Linked DNA regions of Macaca fascicularis. The protein of the gene in region 1 purifies or fractionates together with the protein of each later gene. This does not show direct contact. Links are inferred from orthologs where the notes say so. Each region holds a gene or a part of one and is shown in the gene's direction. Other genes may lie near its edges.

Evidence for each region.
Region 2: the proteins of LGALS3 (region 1) and SLC12A7 purify together in Homo sapiens (affinity purification with mass spectrometry; 3 studies listed by BioGRID and IntAct, counting the BioPlex papers as one, with this or other methods). This does not show direct contact. The link is inferred for Macaca fascicularis from reciprocal best matches to the Homo sapiens genes LGALS3 and SLC12A7.
Region 3: the proteins of LGALS3 (region 1) and SLC12A2 purify together in Homo sapiens (affinity purification with mass spectrometry; 3 studies listed by BioGRID and IntAct, counting the BioPlex papers as one, with this or other methods). This does not show direct contact. The link is inferred for Macaca fascicularis from reciprocal best matches to the Homo sapiens genes LGALS3 and SLC12A2.
Region 4: the proteins of LGALS3 (region 1) and ECE1 purify together in Homo sapiens (affinity purification with mass spectrometry; 3 studies listed by BioGRID and IntAct, counting the BioPlex papers as one, with this or other methods). This does not show direct contact. The link is inferred for Macaca fascicularis from reciprocal best matches to the Homo sapiens genes LGALS3 and ECE1.
Region 5: the proteins of LGALS3 (region 1) and SLC15A4 purify together in Homo sapiens (affinity purification with mass spectrometry; 3 studies listed by BioGRID and IntAct, counting the BioPlex papers as one, with this or other methods). This does not show direct contact. The link is inferred for Macaca fascicularis from reciprocal best matches to the Homo sapiens genes LGALS3 and SLC15A4.

What each region holds. Positions count from the first base shown.
Region 1 is NC_088381.1:122,996,909-123,000,408, forward strand, and holds part of LGALS3 (galectin-3), read left to right. Parts: intron 1-1,806; 5' UTR 1,807-1,810; coding exon 1,811-1,828; intron 1,829-2,482; coding exon 2,483-2,800; intron 2,801-3,500. UniProt on the Homo sapiens protein: Galactose-specific lectin which binds IgE. May mediate with the alpha-3, beta-1 integrin the stimulation by CSPG4 of endothelial cells migration.
Region 2 is NC_088380.1:1,436,538-1,440,037, reverse strand, and holds part of SLC12A7 (solute carrier family 12 member 7), read left to right. Parts: intron 1-979; coding exon 980-1,126; intron 1,127-1,676; coding exon 1,677-1,731; intron 1,732-3,148; coding exon 3,149-3,279; intron 3,280-3,500. UniProt on the Homo sapiens protein: Mediates electroneutral potassium-chloride cotransport when activated by cell swelling. May mediate K(+) uptake into Deiters' cells in the cochlea and contribute to K(+) recycling in the inner ear.
Region 3 is NC_088380.1:134,769,182-134,772,681, forward strand, and holds part of SLC12A2 (solute carrier family 12 member 2), read left to right. Parts: intron 1-589; coding exon 590-725; intron 726-1,001; coding exon 1,002-1,069; intron 1,070-2,676; coding exon 2,677-2,812; 3' UTR 2,813-3,500. UniProt on the Homo sapiens protein: Cation-chloride cotransporter which mediates the electroneutral transport of chloride, potassium and/or sodium ions across the membrane. Plays a vital role in the regulation of ionic balance and cell volume.
Region 4 is NC_088375.1:213,841,341-213,843,504, forward strand, and holds part of ECE1 (endothelin-converting enzyme 1), read left to right. Parts: intron 1-886; coding exon 887-1,063; 3' UTR 1,064-2,164. UniProt on the Homo sapiens protein: Converts big endothelin-1 to endothelin-1.
Region 5 is NC_088385.1:135,938,457-135,941,956, reverse strand, and holds part of SLC15A4 (solute carrier family 15 member 4), read left to right. Parts: intron 1-773; coding exon 774-942; intron 943-1,414; coding exon 1,415-1,492; intron 1,493-1,924; coding exon 1,925-2,093; intron 2,094-3,500. UniProt on the Homo sapiens protein: Proton-coupled amino-acid transporter that mediates the transmembrane transport of L-histidine and some di- and tripeptides from inside the lysosome to the cytosol, and plays a key role in innate immune response.

The sequences.
Region 1 (3,500 bases):
ATTTTTGTATTTTTCATAGAGACAGGGTTTTGACATATTGTCCAGGCTAGTCTTGAACTCTTGGGCTCAAGCAATCCGCCCACCTTAGCCTCCCAACGTGCTGGGGATTACAGGCATGAGCCACGCCCAGCCAATATCTTGCATTTGAATCAAGTAGTGGACATTTATTGAATCCCTTGGGGCGATGTCATTTCTAAAAGTGATTGAGTAAATATCACAGGTAGGCAATCAAGGATATTCTGGTTGTTTCAAGGTCTATGTAATTCAGGCCATGGCACAGGTGATCCTGAGCTTAGGAAGAACTCACCCATGCCTCAGGGGCCCAACTGCCCTCCTCCCCTCACAGCTGGAGCACCTGCAACAGCTGTGAAGCATCTTGTGCTTTAGGAGCCTTGACATGGGAAGGAACAGGAGAAAGCAGGATTGATGTCTCCAGACCACCCCTTGTGGCAGCTTTGGGCAAGGCAAACCCTCTTTGGTAGCATCTTACACCCAAATATTTTTTTCTTTCACGTTGCCTGAATTTTTTCACCTTAGTTTGTTGTACTGCCAAAGATTTTATTTGGAATAACAAGTACCTTTAAAAAAAGAAAGCACATACAAACTTCAGCTGCCCTTTGAGGCTTAGCTCCAACAGCACTTTTCCTTTCCTTCTTAGAAGTAAGCTTTCTGCGTTTGAATTCCTACAGCACACATTCTAACTCATAGCATTCGTGACTTGTTATTTCACATTTCCATGGATGCATCTCATCTGCCTTGCTGGACTGTGGGCCCTTTGGCTTTTTTTAAAATTCTTAATCTTTATGGGTACATAGCAGGTATATATATTTATGGGCTACATAAAGATGTTTTGACACAGGTATGTAGTGCATGATAATCACATCATGGAAAATGGGGCATTCATATTCTCATTTATTTGTGTTACAAACAATCCAAGTATACTTTTAGTTATTTTCAAATGTACAATGAAATTATTGACTATAGTCACCCTGTTGTGCTGTCAAATATCAGGCCTTATTCATTCATTATAACTATTTTTGTCACCCATTAACTATCCTCACCTCCCTCCCACTCACCCACCCCCAGTACCTTTCCCAGCCTCTGGTAACCATCCTTCTACTCTATACCTCTGTGGGCTCAATCGTTTTGAGTTTTAGATCCCATGGCCCCTTTGACCATGCAGATCATGGCCTATTCATCTTCGCACCTAGACAGGAGCCTGCGCAGTGCCTGACCAAGAGCAGGCATAAGTGTGTGCAAATAGAGGAATAAATAACAGGGCAGCAACTATGTCTGGAGGTCATTGTCTTTCCTGTCTCAGTAGGAATCAATCACTGCTGATCTTCAAAAACCCAGAGGAGGGGATGGGGCAGTTAGTGGGGACAGAGGGCAGATGGGCAAGATGAACACACCAAACCCTTTATAAGGAGTAAGGAAGGAAGGTGAAGAAGAACCAAAAAGAAACCATGACTGTTTACATTTTTCACCTGGAAAAGGGACAGGACCTTTTCTTCCTCCCTGCCTCCTCCTCCCTCATGCATTGTATGGCCTCTTGGTCTCAGGATTCAGAGCACAGGCTAGTGTGATGGAAGTTTAAACTTGTGAGTTATATTTAACTCACAATCTAGCTGGAAAGCATCCCTGCCCCTTGAGGAGATGTTGTGTGGTCCCACACTACTGACTTAGGCATAATGCCTAGAGATTGACTAGAACTGCACAATGAACTAGTGGTGAGGTTCAATTTAATGGAAATCGGTGAAAGCTTTCAGGATCAAATGATAACCTTTGTCTCTTTCTTTCTCTCAGGAAAATGGCAGACAATTTTTCGGTAAGTGTTTTATGCCTGTTTCTTACCCTCGATCAACTCCACATGGTTGAGCGTTGGGGGTTTTGTTTTTACCATGACTTTCCCTTTTCACCCTCCCACTGTGTGGCTTCCCCTAGACTCATTTGTCCAACGAGGGCTTGTGAGCTGGAGCCTTGTTTTCCCAGCAGCAGATTTGGGAAGAAAGCCAGGCAGAGCAAGGCCTGGGACTCACTCACAGTAACCCTTTCACCAAAAGGCCCAGGGCGGAAGGGAGTGGACTCTGCTGGCAGGAGCTGAGAAATCCTCTGAGTAGCGGGAAGCGCGGTACAGTCTGGGCATTCTGATGTTTGTGATTGTTTTTCTCACAGTGATTAAAAAATATGTGCTGTAAATAGAGGAGCGCTAGCTCCTGACTTGGGCTAATTATGAAAATGCAGCCCTCCCTGATTTGAGACCTTGGGAGGCAAGAACAAAGTGAAAAAGCATATGTAACCCCAACGTCTAATTTTAGTCTTAGACACTCAAAACTATTAACAAGTGGAAAAAGTATAATGCTATGCATGTAATGCCTTTGCTATATTCCTCTCCTTCTTAGATCACATATTCCTATTTCCCTGAAAATTCTGCTTTTGAGAATGCTTTCTGTCCTGTAATTGTTTATGTCTTTCTTTACAGCTCCATGATGCCTTATCTGGGTCTGGAAACCCAAACCCTCAAGGATGGCCTGGCCCATGGGGGAACCAGCCTGCTGGGGCAGGGGGCTACCCAGGGGCCTCCTATCCTGGGGCCTACCCCGGGCAGGCACCCCCAGGGGTTTATCCTGGACAGGCACCTCCAGGTGCCTACCCTGGAGCACCTGGAGCTTATTCCGGAGCATCTGGAGTCTACCCAGGGCCACCCAGTGGCGCTGGAGCCTACCCATCTCCTGGACAGCCAAGTGCTCCTGGAGCCTACCCTGCCACTGGCCCCTATGGCGCCCCTGCTGGGCCACTGGTGAGATGGCATTCCTCCTTTCATGTACTTGGCATGCAGAGGGCTTCAGGGAGACCCTGAGCTTTAAACCTGCTGTGACAGCCACTTCTCAAGGGCCAGCCATGGGCATATGTTGGTAGAATCGAAAAATTAAGTGTTCATGTTGAGCTTATTGTGTGTGGTTAGTATAAACAGAAGGTAATGAATATTTTGAAGGCACTGATAAAGCTGCTTATGAATATAAACCAAAATTGTAGTAATGGAGAACATTTTGGTTATTATTAACACTTACTGAGTACATGTCAATAATATGCATCTACCTGGATGATCTAATTTAACCCCATTACCACCCTATACGATACTGTTAATAACCCCATTTCACATGTGGGGAAATGGGGCAATACAGAAGTGATATAATTTGTCCAGGGTCATTGAGCAAACAGGTAGAGGAACCAGGGTAATCTGGTTTTGAAAAACCTTCTAAAGATAATTTTGTGATCTAAGGGTTGAATTTTCATGCAAATTAAAATATGTCTTAGCAAGTGAATTCTAAATGTAAAACATAACTCTGTGGGGGATCCAGATACATCTCAGCCACAGGATCCTTCCTTTCCAGATTTATAGTCTAGTTAGATGATAAAACATATAATAAATATGAGGAAAGAGCTAAGTACCAGTGTGGGATTAGACCATTTCAGAACTATGCAGAAGATGGCACAAG
Region 2 (3,500 bases), on another chromosome or scaffold:
ATCGAACCCCCTCCTCAGCCTCCTCACGGAGCCTGTTCTGATCTGCACTGTGGCCGTTGTTCACAGGAAATGTCTTCAAAGAAAACCTTCCCCGTTTTCTACATTGACCTTGAGATGTTTTCCTGTTAAAACGTCACCTTGTGCTGGGGCCAGCCGTCCTCCAGGTCCGAGCCATGTGCCCCTGCTCATGGCGGGAGTGGGGCTGAGCAGGCAATGGGGACAGAGCTGAAACTTCTGCCCCAGCCTGGCCGGTCCCGAGCGGGGCTAGGGGGCTGCCTCGCAGCCACTGACCTGCTTCTGGCTGTGCTGCTGGTCCTTGCCCGTGCGGGTTTCTTCAGGGCCACGGGGTGTGTCCCCCTCTCTGGCACAGGTGTCTGAAGCGGGCTGCCTGCTCCATCCTGGGGCAGGCGGGGTGGCCCCAGGGTGGATATCTGAACCTTTGCTGTTATATTGTGGTGACCTGGGCCAATGCTGAGCTGTGGATTTTATTTTTTTTAATTTAATTTTATTTTTTTTAGCTTTATGGGCAGCAGCCGTTTCTTCCTTCCGCCGGCTCTGCTTCCATTCCTGAAGTCTCAGGCTCTCCCCGGGTGTCAGGTCTGAGGCCCTGAGCCATCCAGGGAATGGAGCTGGGGGCCCTCCTGTTCTCCCTCTAGTTTTTCCCATAACTTTTCCAGTGTAACAGGTTCCCCTCCGTCGGGGAGGCACAGCAGAGCAACTGCATCTTGGTTCTCTGCCAACCATGTGGTTCTGCTCCCCTCCCCTAAGCCCCCGCCCCCGGGATGGTCAGGATCCCACCCTGGGCCTCTCTCTGAGCCTCCGTCTGTTCCGGGACGGACTCCTGTCCCCTCCAGTCCCCTTCTGCCCCTTCCTGCCCCCACGGCCGCTTTGCCTGCCCAGGGCCTGAGTGCAGCCTGGGGAGGGGGCTGCCTTCGGGTGTGGGGTCCGAGCCCCCGGCACACGCTGTGTTCCGTCGCAGGCTCCGCGCATGGGCACCTTCATTGGCGTCTACCTGCCGTGCCTGCAGAACATCCTGGGCGTCATCCTCTTCCTGCGCCTGACGTGGATCGTGGGGGTGGCTGGTGTCCTGGAGTCCTTCCTCATCGTGGCCATGTGCTGCACCTGCGTGAGTCTCCCCGGCCAGTGTGGCTGTGCCTTCAGGCGGGGGCAGCCGGACAGTAGGGCCCTCCCCAGACACCCGTGTAGAGGTTGTTCAGCGCCGTCCCCTCCACGAGAGCCGGGGCAGCTGCGGGGATGAGACACCACACTGGCCGGGGTTCGCGCTGGCGTGTTGATTGGCGCTGGCACCTCATTTACCCGTGTCTGCGGAAAGGCATCTCGGCCGGTGGTGGGTGTTGTGGGGTGGCCTCAGGGGGCTGAGGCTTCCAAGGGAAGGGACACCCTGTGTTTTGACGACATCACCTCCAGTTTGGAAGGACCTTGGGTACTTTCAGGTGTCCTTGTCATAGGGAAAGGGGTGGGAACCAGGACACTGCATGCCTGGTGCCCGGGAGCCTCCGGGTCCTAGTTTCCCAGCCACTGCATTGAGATGGAGAGCCCTGGAGCCGGGGGCTGACTTTCGGCGGGAGCCAGGCCATAGACCGCGCCTTGGGAGTGTTGCGATGCCGGCAGGCTCTTGGAAAGCTCTCCTCAGATGGCCGCCTGTCTTTCTGCAGACAATGCTGACCGCCATTTCCATGAGTGCGATCGCTACCAACGGCGTGGTGCCAGGTAAGGGGTGCCTGAGTCCTGTTAGAGGAGTCTGTGTGTTTGGTAACTGGGAGGAGGCCGCTCCGCGAGGCAGGGCCAGGGGCTGCCTGGGGGTCACTGCCAGGCCTTCTGCGTGTTCTCCACTGGCTCCTCTGGCGTTTGAGCCGTGAGGTCACGGCTGTTTGGTTTTCTTCCCCATTTTGCTGCATGGTGACCGTCTCTTGCCAGGGTAGGCAGTGCCCACCGGGCAGCGGGCTTGGGAGGGGGAGGCATGGGCGATTCCAGTGATGCCTGTAGCCTGGCATGTGCCATAGGCTGAGTTCTTGGAACCTGTATCTCACGAGGGAAGGTGAAGACAAAACGCTGCCCTGACCTTGTTAATTACTAATAAATTAATTACAATATGTAATAACTAGTGAACTGAGATGTTAATTAGTAATAAATTAATTACAATACGTAATAACTAGTGAACTGAGATGATGTTCATCAGCAATAAATTAATTACAATACGTAATAACTAGTGAACTGAGATGATAATTAGCATTAAGTTAATTATAGTACGTAATAACTAGTGAGCTGAGATGATACTGTTAATTAGTAATTACGTAAATAGCTAGTGAACTGAGATGATGTTAATTAGTAATAAATTAATTGCAATACATAATAACTGGTGAACCGAGATGATATTGTTAATTAGTAATAAATTGCAACACGAAATAACTAGTGAACTGAGATGATGCCACGTCTGCTCCCTAGTGCACGTGTCCTGCGTGTGTTAACGGCCGGGCTTGCTCAGCACCAGGTCCTCACGCAGCTGGCCCCCACCCCCACAGGGGCATTGCGTGGTGCTCAGTGGACTTCCCCGGCCGCAGGAGAGCACGAGGGCCCTCACTGGGGGTCTCCCTCAGCAGCCAGGGGACCAGTCTCTGCTTCTCGATGACTGCATCCGTTAGGGCCCCTTCCTCATGGCCACATGCACTGCTCAGAGCAGGGAGAGCCGCGTTCTCCAGGCAACCCTGGGGTCGCTCCCAGCTTTCCCGTCAGCCATCGCATGCGTGGTTCACAGTCTACCAGAGAACTCCTGAACATCCTGGTTTCTCTTTTGCCTTTTTTATAAGCAAAACGTAGTGGAAGTGGGGGCTGGGGCTGCCATTGATGTACGCAGGCCTTTTTCCCGGACGTGCTGGGGCCTCCTGCCCCGACCTCACCTGGTCCTCATGTCCACGAGGGCACGGTCGGTGTGGAATGTGTGCCGAGCCTCGGGAGGGGAGCGTTTACCGTGGCAGCCGGACGTCTTCATGTGCTGCTTTGCGGTGGGCGAACACGCTGCCTTCGCAGAGACAGGCCTTCCTTCACTCACGAGCGACAGCGCAGACCGCACCTCAAGTCTGCGTCCAAGCACGCCCCTGACCCGCGGCCGCCGCCTGTGTCTCCACAGCTGGCGGCTCCTACTACATGATATCGCGCTCACTGGGACCCGAGTTCGGAGGCGCTGTCGGCCTCTGCTTTTACCTGGGCACGACGTTCGCAGGGGCCATGTATATTCTGGGGACCATCGAGATCCTTCTGGTGAGCATGCTGCTTTGGAGCGTTCCCCACCCCACAGTCTGCGGCAGGACGCCAAGGGGCCCTGCCTGACCCACTCTGTGGCACACACAGCACACGGAGCCCTCCCGACCCCACTGCCCTGACTGCCCCTGGGCTCTCCCTGGCGGAAGCCGTCGGCAGCGTCCACTCCGCAGTGACCTGGGTCCCCTGTGAGCTCCATTGCCGCCCTCCGCGAGGGGTGC
Region 3 (3,500 bases), on another chromosome or scaffold:
AATTTTGACTTATTGCTCAAAGGGATCATTTTGGCTACTATGGTAAAATATATTTAGGTTGAGAGAAAATGGCCATAAGGGGAGGAGGGGTAGATACAGGGAGGTCAGCTTTAGCAGTTAAAAATGCAATTTTATTACAGGTTGGAGATTCCTTATCCCAAATGCTTGGGGTCAACCAAAAGTGTTTCAGATTTCAGATTTTTTTTTTTTAATTTTGAAACATTTTCATTATACATGCTGGTTTAGAATCCCTAATCCAAAAATCAGAAATTCAAAATGTTTCACTGAGCATTTCCATTAGACATCATATTGGTGCTTAGAAAGTTTTAGATTTTGAAGCAGTTTGGATTTCAGATTAGGGATGCACAATCTGTATTGTCCATATGGGTTCTAATTTTCTCATCAGTTTGAGAGACTAGAAATTGCTGTTTTTGAAATAAATTGCCACAGTGATTATTATGGTTGGGGTATGGAGAGGAGCATAATAAATGAGAGGCACTAACTTTGCAAGTTATAGTTTAATATTTAAGATCTTTCTGTTATGTAACTTAAAATAAGATTAGTTGTGAGAATTCTTTGTTTTTTAAAGTATTATAGCTTTTGAGGAAATGATTGAGCCATACAGACTTCATGAAGATGATAAAGAGCAAGATATTGCAGATAAAATGAAAGAAGATGAACCATGGCGAATAACAGATAATGAGCTTGAACTTTATAAGACCAAGGTATTCTTTCACTTCTGCTTTATTTTCATTGATTTTTTATATAATAAAAGACATGAAAACCAAGAACTTCAAATTTGATATAGGAGGGGTCAATTGTATAAATGAACTCTAAAGTAGATTTATTTGAGGTTAGCAGAAAGCATTTAAAAAAAAAAAAAGATTTTTATTACACTAAAATTCATTTCCATTTCTTTTTGTCTCCTTATAGTTTTATGAACCATGCTAAATTCTTATTTCCAAATGGTCTAGGAATGACTTTGTCCTGTTTCATTTCAGACCTACCGGCAGATCAGGTTAAATGAATTATTAAAGGAACATTCAAGCACAGCTAATATTATTGTCATGTAAGTAATATCTTTATAAAGATTTTCTTGCTAATTTCTGATAATATGCTTTGAATTAATTTCTGTTCCAGCCACATATCTATATAACACCCATATTGACTTAGTTGTTGTAAGGAGGAAAAAACAAACTTGTAAAAATATACTATGCTTTAAGCATATGGAGAAAGACTAACCTTAAGCTTATATGAATCCCAAGTAATTTTTTTATCGTAATTGGAACCTTTTGTTTACACTTCTCACCTTTTCAAAATTCCTTATCTTTGTAAACACTATAGCATAGCCATTAAGTATGTGTGGATAGGAGGGTCCTACGTTAAAATTTGGACCCCAGACAGCTTCCTCTTGAAAATAACCCAAAAAATGTTATTTGGCAGATTAAACTTGAATAGTGATTCCTGTCTGGATTCCCATTCTTATGTTTTCCACACACAAATTTTACATACCGACACATTGTCCTTGAGTTAAATACAGATGTAAATGCCTGCTTTGGCTCTTCCTCTACTGAACTAGGCTAGCTAGATATTCTTTGAACCCACATTTTCTCAGTTCTGGAACATGTGTCCTTAGATAGGAAAGCTCAGGCCTCTCCCCCACAAAAAAAGCCAAATAATGAAAAAAACTATCAAAAGATTGTTAGTTTAACAACAAGCATTTAATAAATCAGAAAGTTTCAAGTTTTGCTGATGATAAATACCTGTAATGGAAAAGACACTAAAACGCAGAAATTTAGAGAAAAACTTACAAAGCAGCTGGTCACTGCTACCACCATCCATAAATAGAAATTAAAACTGAGATAAGAAGATAAAAATTGCATTTATCCATATATAGCTTCTGTTTTCTAAATTTGGATAGTAAACATACCTTTCACCTAAAAGAATTCTATTCTTATTAAAGAAGGGGAAATCTAGGGTTTAGTGTTATATCTCAGAGATACTGTGGTTTATAGAAATATTTACTTTTCTTATGAACAAATTCTTAAAAATCTTTGTTGAAAGATTATAGTCTTTTATATACACGTGTACGATGGTGGTACCATAAGATTGTAATACCATATATTAAGCTGGGCACGATGGTGTGCACCTGTAGTCTCAGCTACTTGGGAGACTGAGGTGGGAGGATTGCTTGAGACCTGAAGTTTTGAGTCCAGCCTGGACAATGTATTAAGACCCATCTCTCTTAAAAACAAAAACAAAAAAACCATATTTTTACTGTATCTTTTCTATATTTAGCTATGCAAATGCTTACCATCGTGTTACAGTTGCCTATGGTATTCACTACAGTAACATACTGCACAGGTTTGTAGCCTAGGAGCAAGTGTCATATGGCCTAGATGTGTAGTAGGCTATACTGTCTTGGTTTGTGTAAGTACTCTTATGATGTTTTCATGAGGGCAAAATTGCCTGACAATAATAAGTTCTAAGAAATGAGTCGCTATCGCAAAGCAACACAACTGTGGTTGTTATTCTATATGCAGAATTCTCCTGCACTCAGAAATATTCTGTAATTATAGTAATTTATAGTAACTTATTGTAATCTAATTTATAATTTTTGCTACATTTTATTCTGTCAATGCATTGCTCAGGTTCTTTTTCTCTTTTTGATACCAGGAGTCTCCCAGTTGCACGAAAAGGTGCTGTGTCCAGTGCTCTCTACATGGCATGGTTAGAAGCTCTATCTAAGGACCTACCACCAATCCTCCTAGTTCGTGGGAATCATCAGAGTGTCCTTACCTTCTACTCGTAAATGTTCTATACAGTGGACAGCCCTCCAGAATGGTACTTCAGTGCCTAGTGTAGTAACTGAAATCTTCAATGACACATGAACATCACAATGGCGAATAGTGACTTTTCTTTCATGATTTCATTAATTTGAAAGCACACAGGAAAGTTGCTCCATTGATATGTGTATGGAGACTTCGGTTTTAGTCAATTCCATATCTCAATCTTAATGAATGGTGATTCTTCTCTGTTGAACTGAAGTTTGTGAGAGTAGTTTTCCTTTGCTACTTGAATAGCAATAAAAGTGTGTTAACTTTTTGATTGATGAAAGAAGTACAAAAAGCCTTTAGCCTTGAGGTGCCTTCTGAAATTAACCAAATTTCATCCATATATCCTCTTTTATAAATTTATAGAATGTCAAACTTTGCCTTCAACTGTTGTTTTTATTTCTAGTCTCTTCCACTTTAAAACAAAATGAACACTGCTTGTCTTCTTCCATTGACCATTTAGTGTTGAGTACTGTATGTGTTTTGTTAATTTTATAAAGGTATCTGTTAGATATTAAAGGTGAGAATTAGGGCAGGTTAATGAAAAATGGGGAAGGGGAAATGGTAACCAAAAAGTGACCCCATGGTACGGTTTATATGAGTATATGTTAATACAGAGCTAGGAAAAAAAGCCCCCCAAATGCCTTTTTAACCCCTCTGATTGGC
Region 4 (2,164 bases), on another chromosome or scaffold:
GGAATCGAATGCGGGTGCCTCAGACAGAGATGCTGCGCTGGCTGAAGGAGAACAGTTTGGAGACAACTGCGTTAGAGGCTGCTGGCATGGGGAGTGGCACACACCAGCCCTACACCAGCCCACTTTCTCTTCCTGACCCACTCAGGGGGTCCTCCTGACTCCCCGGGATCTCAGGATCAGTTTGGGGGCTCATCCCCCTGGTGTTGTTTTTCTGAGTTTTGTGTTTTTGGAGCCGGAGTCTTCCCTCAGTTGCCCAGCCTGGAGTGTGATGGCATGATCTCAGCTCACTGTAACATCAACCTCCCGGGTTCAAGTGATTCTCCTGCCTCATCCTCCCGTGTAGCTGGGATTATAGGATGCACCACCACACCCAGCTAATTTTTGTATTTCTAGCACAGCCAGGGTTTCACCATGTTTGTCAGGCTGGTCTCAAATTCCTGGCCTCAAACGATTCACCCCTCCTTGGCCTCTCAGAATGCTGGGATTATAGGCATGAGCCACCACACCCAGCCTTATTTTGTTTTTTGAGACAGGATCTCACTCGGTCACCCAGGCTGGAATGCAGTTGCACAATCTCATCTCACTGCGGCCTTGACTTCCCCAGCTCCAGTGATCCTCCCGCCTCAGCCTCCCAGGAGCTGGGACCGTAGTGCACACCACCACGCCTGGTTAATTTTTTTTTTTTTGTAGAGATGGGGTCTTGCCATGTTGCTCAAGCTGGTCATGAACTCCTGGGCTCAAGCAGCCCTCCCACCTTGGCTTCCAGAGTGCTGGGATTACAGGTGTGAGCCACTGCACCTGGCCTCCCCTGCTGTTATAATGGGGACAGTCTGGCAGCCCCAGGGCCCCACAGTGACCCTGGCCTCTCTCTCTTGTCCCTTCAAAGGTCTGGTGCTCCGTCCGCACACCTGAGAGCTCCCATGAAGGCCTCATCACCGACCCCCACAGCCCCTCTCGCTTCCGGGTCATCGGCTCCCTCTCCAATTCCAAGGAGTTCTCAGAACACTTCCACTGCTCACCTGGCTCGCCCATGAACCCGCCTCACAAATGCGAAGTCTGGTAAGGACGAAGCGGAGAGAGCCAAGACGGAGGAGGGGAAGGGGCTGAGGACGAGCCCCCCGTCCAGCCTCCAGGGCATTGCTCAGCCCGCTTGGCCACCCGGGGCTCTGCTTCCCCGCACTGGAGGGCTTTCAGCTGGAACCGAGCCCATGGTGTCGGCTCTCAACAGAACCCACCATCTGACCCCTGTGAAGAGCCGGACATCCAGGCACACACGTGCGCCACCTTCAGCGGGCATTCGGGTGTCGGGCGGGTGGCTCATCAGGCCTGGGCCCCACGCTGACAAGCGCCAGATACGCCACAAATACCACTGTGTCAAATGCTTTCAAGATATATTTTTGGGGAAACTATTTTTTAAACATTGTGGAATACACTGGAAATCTTCAGGGAAAAACGCATTTAAACACTTTTTTTTTTTTAAGGAAAGAATTGGTATATTTATTATGTTCTGTTTTTCTAAATAACCTGTGGACAAGGGAAGCCCCACTGATTTACCCCCTTTCTTCCCCACTCCCTGTGGGGCTGGGCTGAGGCAGGGATCCCTCTTCCCCACTCCCTGTGGGGCTGGGCTGAGGCAGGGATCCCTGGGCCACAGAGCAAGTCTCCAAATCAGACAGCTGCCTTGGCTCTTGGGATGTGTGATTTCAGCTCCTGTCACCTCGTGCAGAGGCATGGAGACCAGTAGAGGTGTGGAGGCCAGGCAGAGGGAGGAGCCGGCTCTGGGAGGTCCCAGCTCATGGGCACTGCCCCTTCAGCTAGCCTGCCTCTGTCCCCTGAGTCCAACAGTGGGAGCCCTAGCAGGGAAGTTCTGATCCCCAAAGCCACAGCAGGGGACTGATGGCTACGGCAGAATGAGGCCAGGTCAGGACCCTCAAACATCATCTGGGCGTACCAAGCACCCTGAAGCCAGACTGCAGGAGCCCTGCAGGGTGAGGCTCTATTGGAGATACACTGCTGGCCACAGGTGTCCCCTCTCGGTCCCACCTTTTCAGGCTGTCCCATGTCTATCTCAGGGGCCCATTACCTCTGTGCAGCAGTCCCCCATCCCAGCCACACCAGGGTCTGTCTGGCCAACCTCTTCCCCAGGAAAGGAGAAAAGAGAAAA
Region 5 (3,500 bases), on another chromosome or scaffold:
GCCATACCTCGGGCAGCCTTCTCGCTCTCTGTGCCCAGGCATCTTGCTCTGTGCAGTGGGGCCCTGAAGAGTTTTAACACCACATGGTTAATGAGGGAGGACATAGGGACGCAGTGCACTGGGCACTCCCCATTTCCTGCTGTCCTAGGACAGAGCCAGGGACATCCTCCTGTCATCACCACCGGCACTGCCCTCCCCCTCAGCTCTTCCCTAACCCAAGAGCTGACAGCTTTCCTCCGAGAATAGAACCCTGCCTCTGTCCTGCCAGTGACTCAGTTTAAACCAGCAGGGTTTTATTCATAGCATTGGTATTGGCCGTCAGGTCTTGATGTTTGATAAATTAGCTGATTACAAATTCACACAATCCAGTGCATTTTTTCATATGCTATCCAGTGGCGTAGCTGATGTCCTTCCCAGTGTCGGTGGAGCTGCAGACTCTCCCCACGCGGAGACTGCTGAGCCGGCAGCTGCACTGGGGCTGAGCTCAGCCATGGTTCAGACTGTCATCACAGATCTTCCAGCCACGCTAGAGTTACAGGAGCCCAATTGCACTTTGACTAGAAAGTCCCTTTGTCAGCTGTTTCAGTACATTCTGTGACATTTAGAAATAATTCAGGAAGCTGTGTTGGGTGTGTGCAATTAGTAAGTGATGGAATGAGTTGAAGCAGATTCGATACAGTGAGCTGGTTTCTTACCTCCAAACTTAATTTGTGACCAAATAATTGATTGCTGGGAGGGGAAGAAAACTAATTCCTTCATTTTATTTCCCAAAGTGAAGGCATTGGAGTCTTTCAGCAATCTTCTAAACAAAGTCTGTTTGATTCATGTAAGATGTCTCATGGAGGGCCATTTACAGAAGAGAAAGTGGAAGATGTGAAAGCTCTGGTCAAGATTGTCCCTGTTTTCTTGGCTTTGATACCTTACTGGACAGTGTATTTCCAAGTGAGTGGTGACAAACAGGTTTAATTTCCTTTATCTTCCTATGAAGTCTTAGCCTAGCACTTGTTTTGGCCATGTTTAAAGTAGTTAGGACTAGATTATTTTTTTTTTCCATGAGTCTACAGAATCCTGGCATTTTTGGTTTTAGTTATGGAGTCATTTTGGCTGCTTTAACTATGTTTAAAGCCTCTCTGAAAAAGAAGCTGAGAACAGGTATGCTTCTGGTTTTTCCAGGCCCCTCTTGTTAATGTAATTTCTCCTTTGGATAACTGGCTGTTCTTTTTCAAAATTGATCTCCAGAGGACTTTACAGTGACCAAATCATTGACCTGTCTGTTTTCAAACTTGAGCCGTTGTCTGTTTCTGGGAGTCACTACTGTCGCATCTCAGAGCCTAGTTTAGGGGAGGGGCAGGATGCTTAGAGTGTTTGAGGGCACAGTTGGTTCACATATAATGATACTGTTTTTTATACCTAGATGCAGACAACGTATGTTTTACAGAGTCTTCATTTGAGGATTCCAGAAATTTCAAATATTACAACCACTCCTCACACGGTAAGAACAATTGTAATGATCTCAAAATTGTCATTTTGGGCTTATGTAATAAATGGATTCCTTCTACCAACTGTAAATGTTTTATAAATGTTAACAGCACCAACAAAAACCTTTGTTATTGAAATAGAGTTTTTACTTATTTTAGAGAATATTTTTTGTTGGTTGTATCATTTACTAGATTAGGTTGACTGACATCAGTTCAGCGTTACTTAGTATTTTTCACCTGATTATTTTCCCCTCAAAGCACAGAAAAGCAAATGCAGATTCATTTAGAAAGGAAGCTTTTCCCAGTTCCGTTGTCTCTAAACTGAAGAGGTTGTACCTTGTGGAGAGGAGCTGTTCTTTACATGCATTTCTCCCATTGAGATGTTGGTTCTCCAGACGGGTGGTGTATTGCGGGGAGTAAACGCCTCCTCCCGTGTTTCACCCCAGCTCCCTGCAGCCTGGCTGACCATGTTTGATGCTGTGCTCATCCTGCTGCTCATCCCTGTGAAGGACAAACTGGTGGATCCCATTTTGAGAAGAAATGGCCTGCTCCCATCCTCCCTGAAGAGGATCGCCGTGGGCATGTTCTTTGTCATGTGCTCGGCCTTTGCTGCAGGTAGGAGGCATTCTGCTCCGTTCCTCCTCAGGCCCCACTTCGGCAGTTGTGGATTCAGAATAGAGTGTTGACGCCCTGTCATGCCCCAGGTTGTTCAGGAAGTGCGTGTCTGTGAAAGAGGATGTGTATCAGTTATTTTACAGCACTAATCCTTTGTTTTAAACTTTAAAATAAGTTGAAGATTATTTTCCTAAGGATATGTCAGTTTTCTTCTGGTACTAAAACCATTGGGTTGCTCTGAAAAGGGACTTTTGGACTGAGTTAAAGGGAGGTTTTTCTCTACCTTCTGGTTTAGAATTAGGCTGTTGAATGCTGAACAGATGAATTCGTGTAAATTAAAGGTACTATATCATTCTCGAGGATGAGAATTCCACCTTCAGATTACTAACCTTTGGTTTATTAACAAGTGTCAGGGTGTCTGTGAGTCCTTTGAATTTTTTATGTAAAATTCTGTGTGCATTTTTCTGGTGACAAAAATGTTTCTAGATTGTTATAGGCTCATGGGCAGCATCTCCTCCCCCTACAAATAAACCTCATAAGAACGAATGCCTAAGTCTCTAAACTCAGACGAGGAGAGTTATCCTTTTGAGGGTTTCCATTCTGTTTTCGTAATTTGTATGTGCTGAAATGAGTTGTTTATCCTTTGCTGATAAAGCTGGGTATCGCTGACTTTCTCAGTTATTTTGGAGTTCTCCCTTCATTAATATTTGAAAATTGTTGAATGATAAAACAGCTTAGTTACATAATAAGAAAAGTTGATATTCTTGAACCAGCTGTATATTATCTGCTGTTATGAGGAATTCAGTGTTAAGCGCTGCTGAAATGGAATTTAATATTCTCAAACAATGCTGCCTTCATAGCAGCCTTCATCTACTTTTGCCAGACTGAACATATTGATATAGTACTTAATAGATTTAAAGAAATTAGTCCCTGGGCTTAAGAAATCTCTATTCTAGAGACTGGGACATTTTAGAAGACTATTGCATTTTCTTTTGTTCAAATAGATAATTAAAGTGAGGTCGTGTCTGAGTGAAGTTTTTGCTGTGTGCCTTCTTTATAATTCAGCTTCTCTTCCAGAGCTGTGGCACATGGGGAAATAAGCATAGGCAGAGAAGAACTGAATTACCGCAGGGCTCTAGCTGCAGGCTGCAGTTCAGCAGAGTGCACACGCAGAAGGGCTGTCTGCAGGAAGTCTTTGCACTGGAGGCTGTGTCTGCCTGTCTGTCCTACCTCCCTAAAGCGCAGGCTCAGCTTTGGCCTCAGACCTCTCTCTCCCCCTGGGGCTAGAGTGCCTTCTCTGTGCCCCATCACCACACTGGTTGATGCCAAGGAAGGAAGTCCTCATTCCCTCCCTGTGGGAAAGGAGATCTCCTTGGTTTCTGGAGGCTTTTCCAGTAAATACTTGGT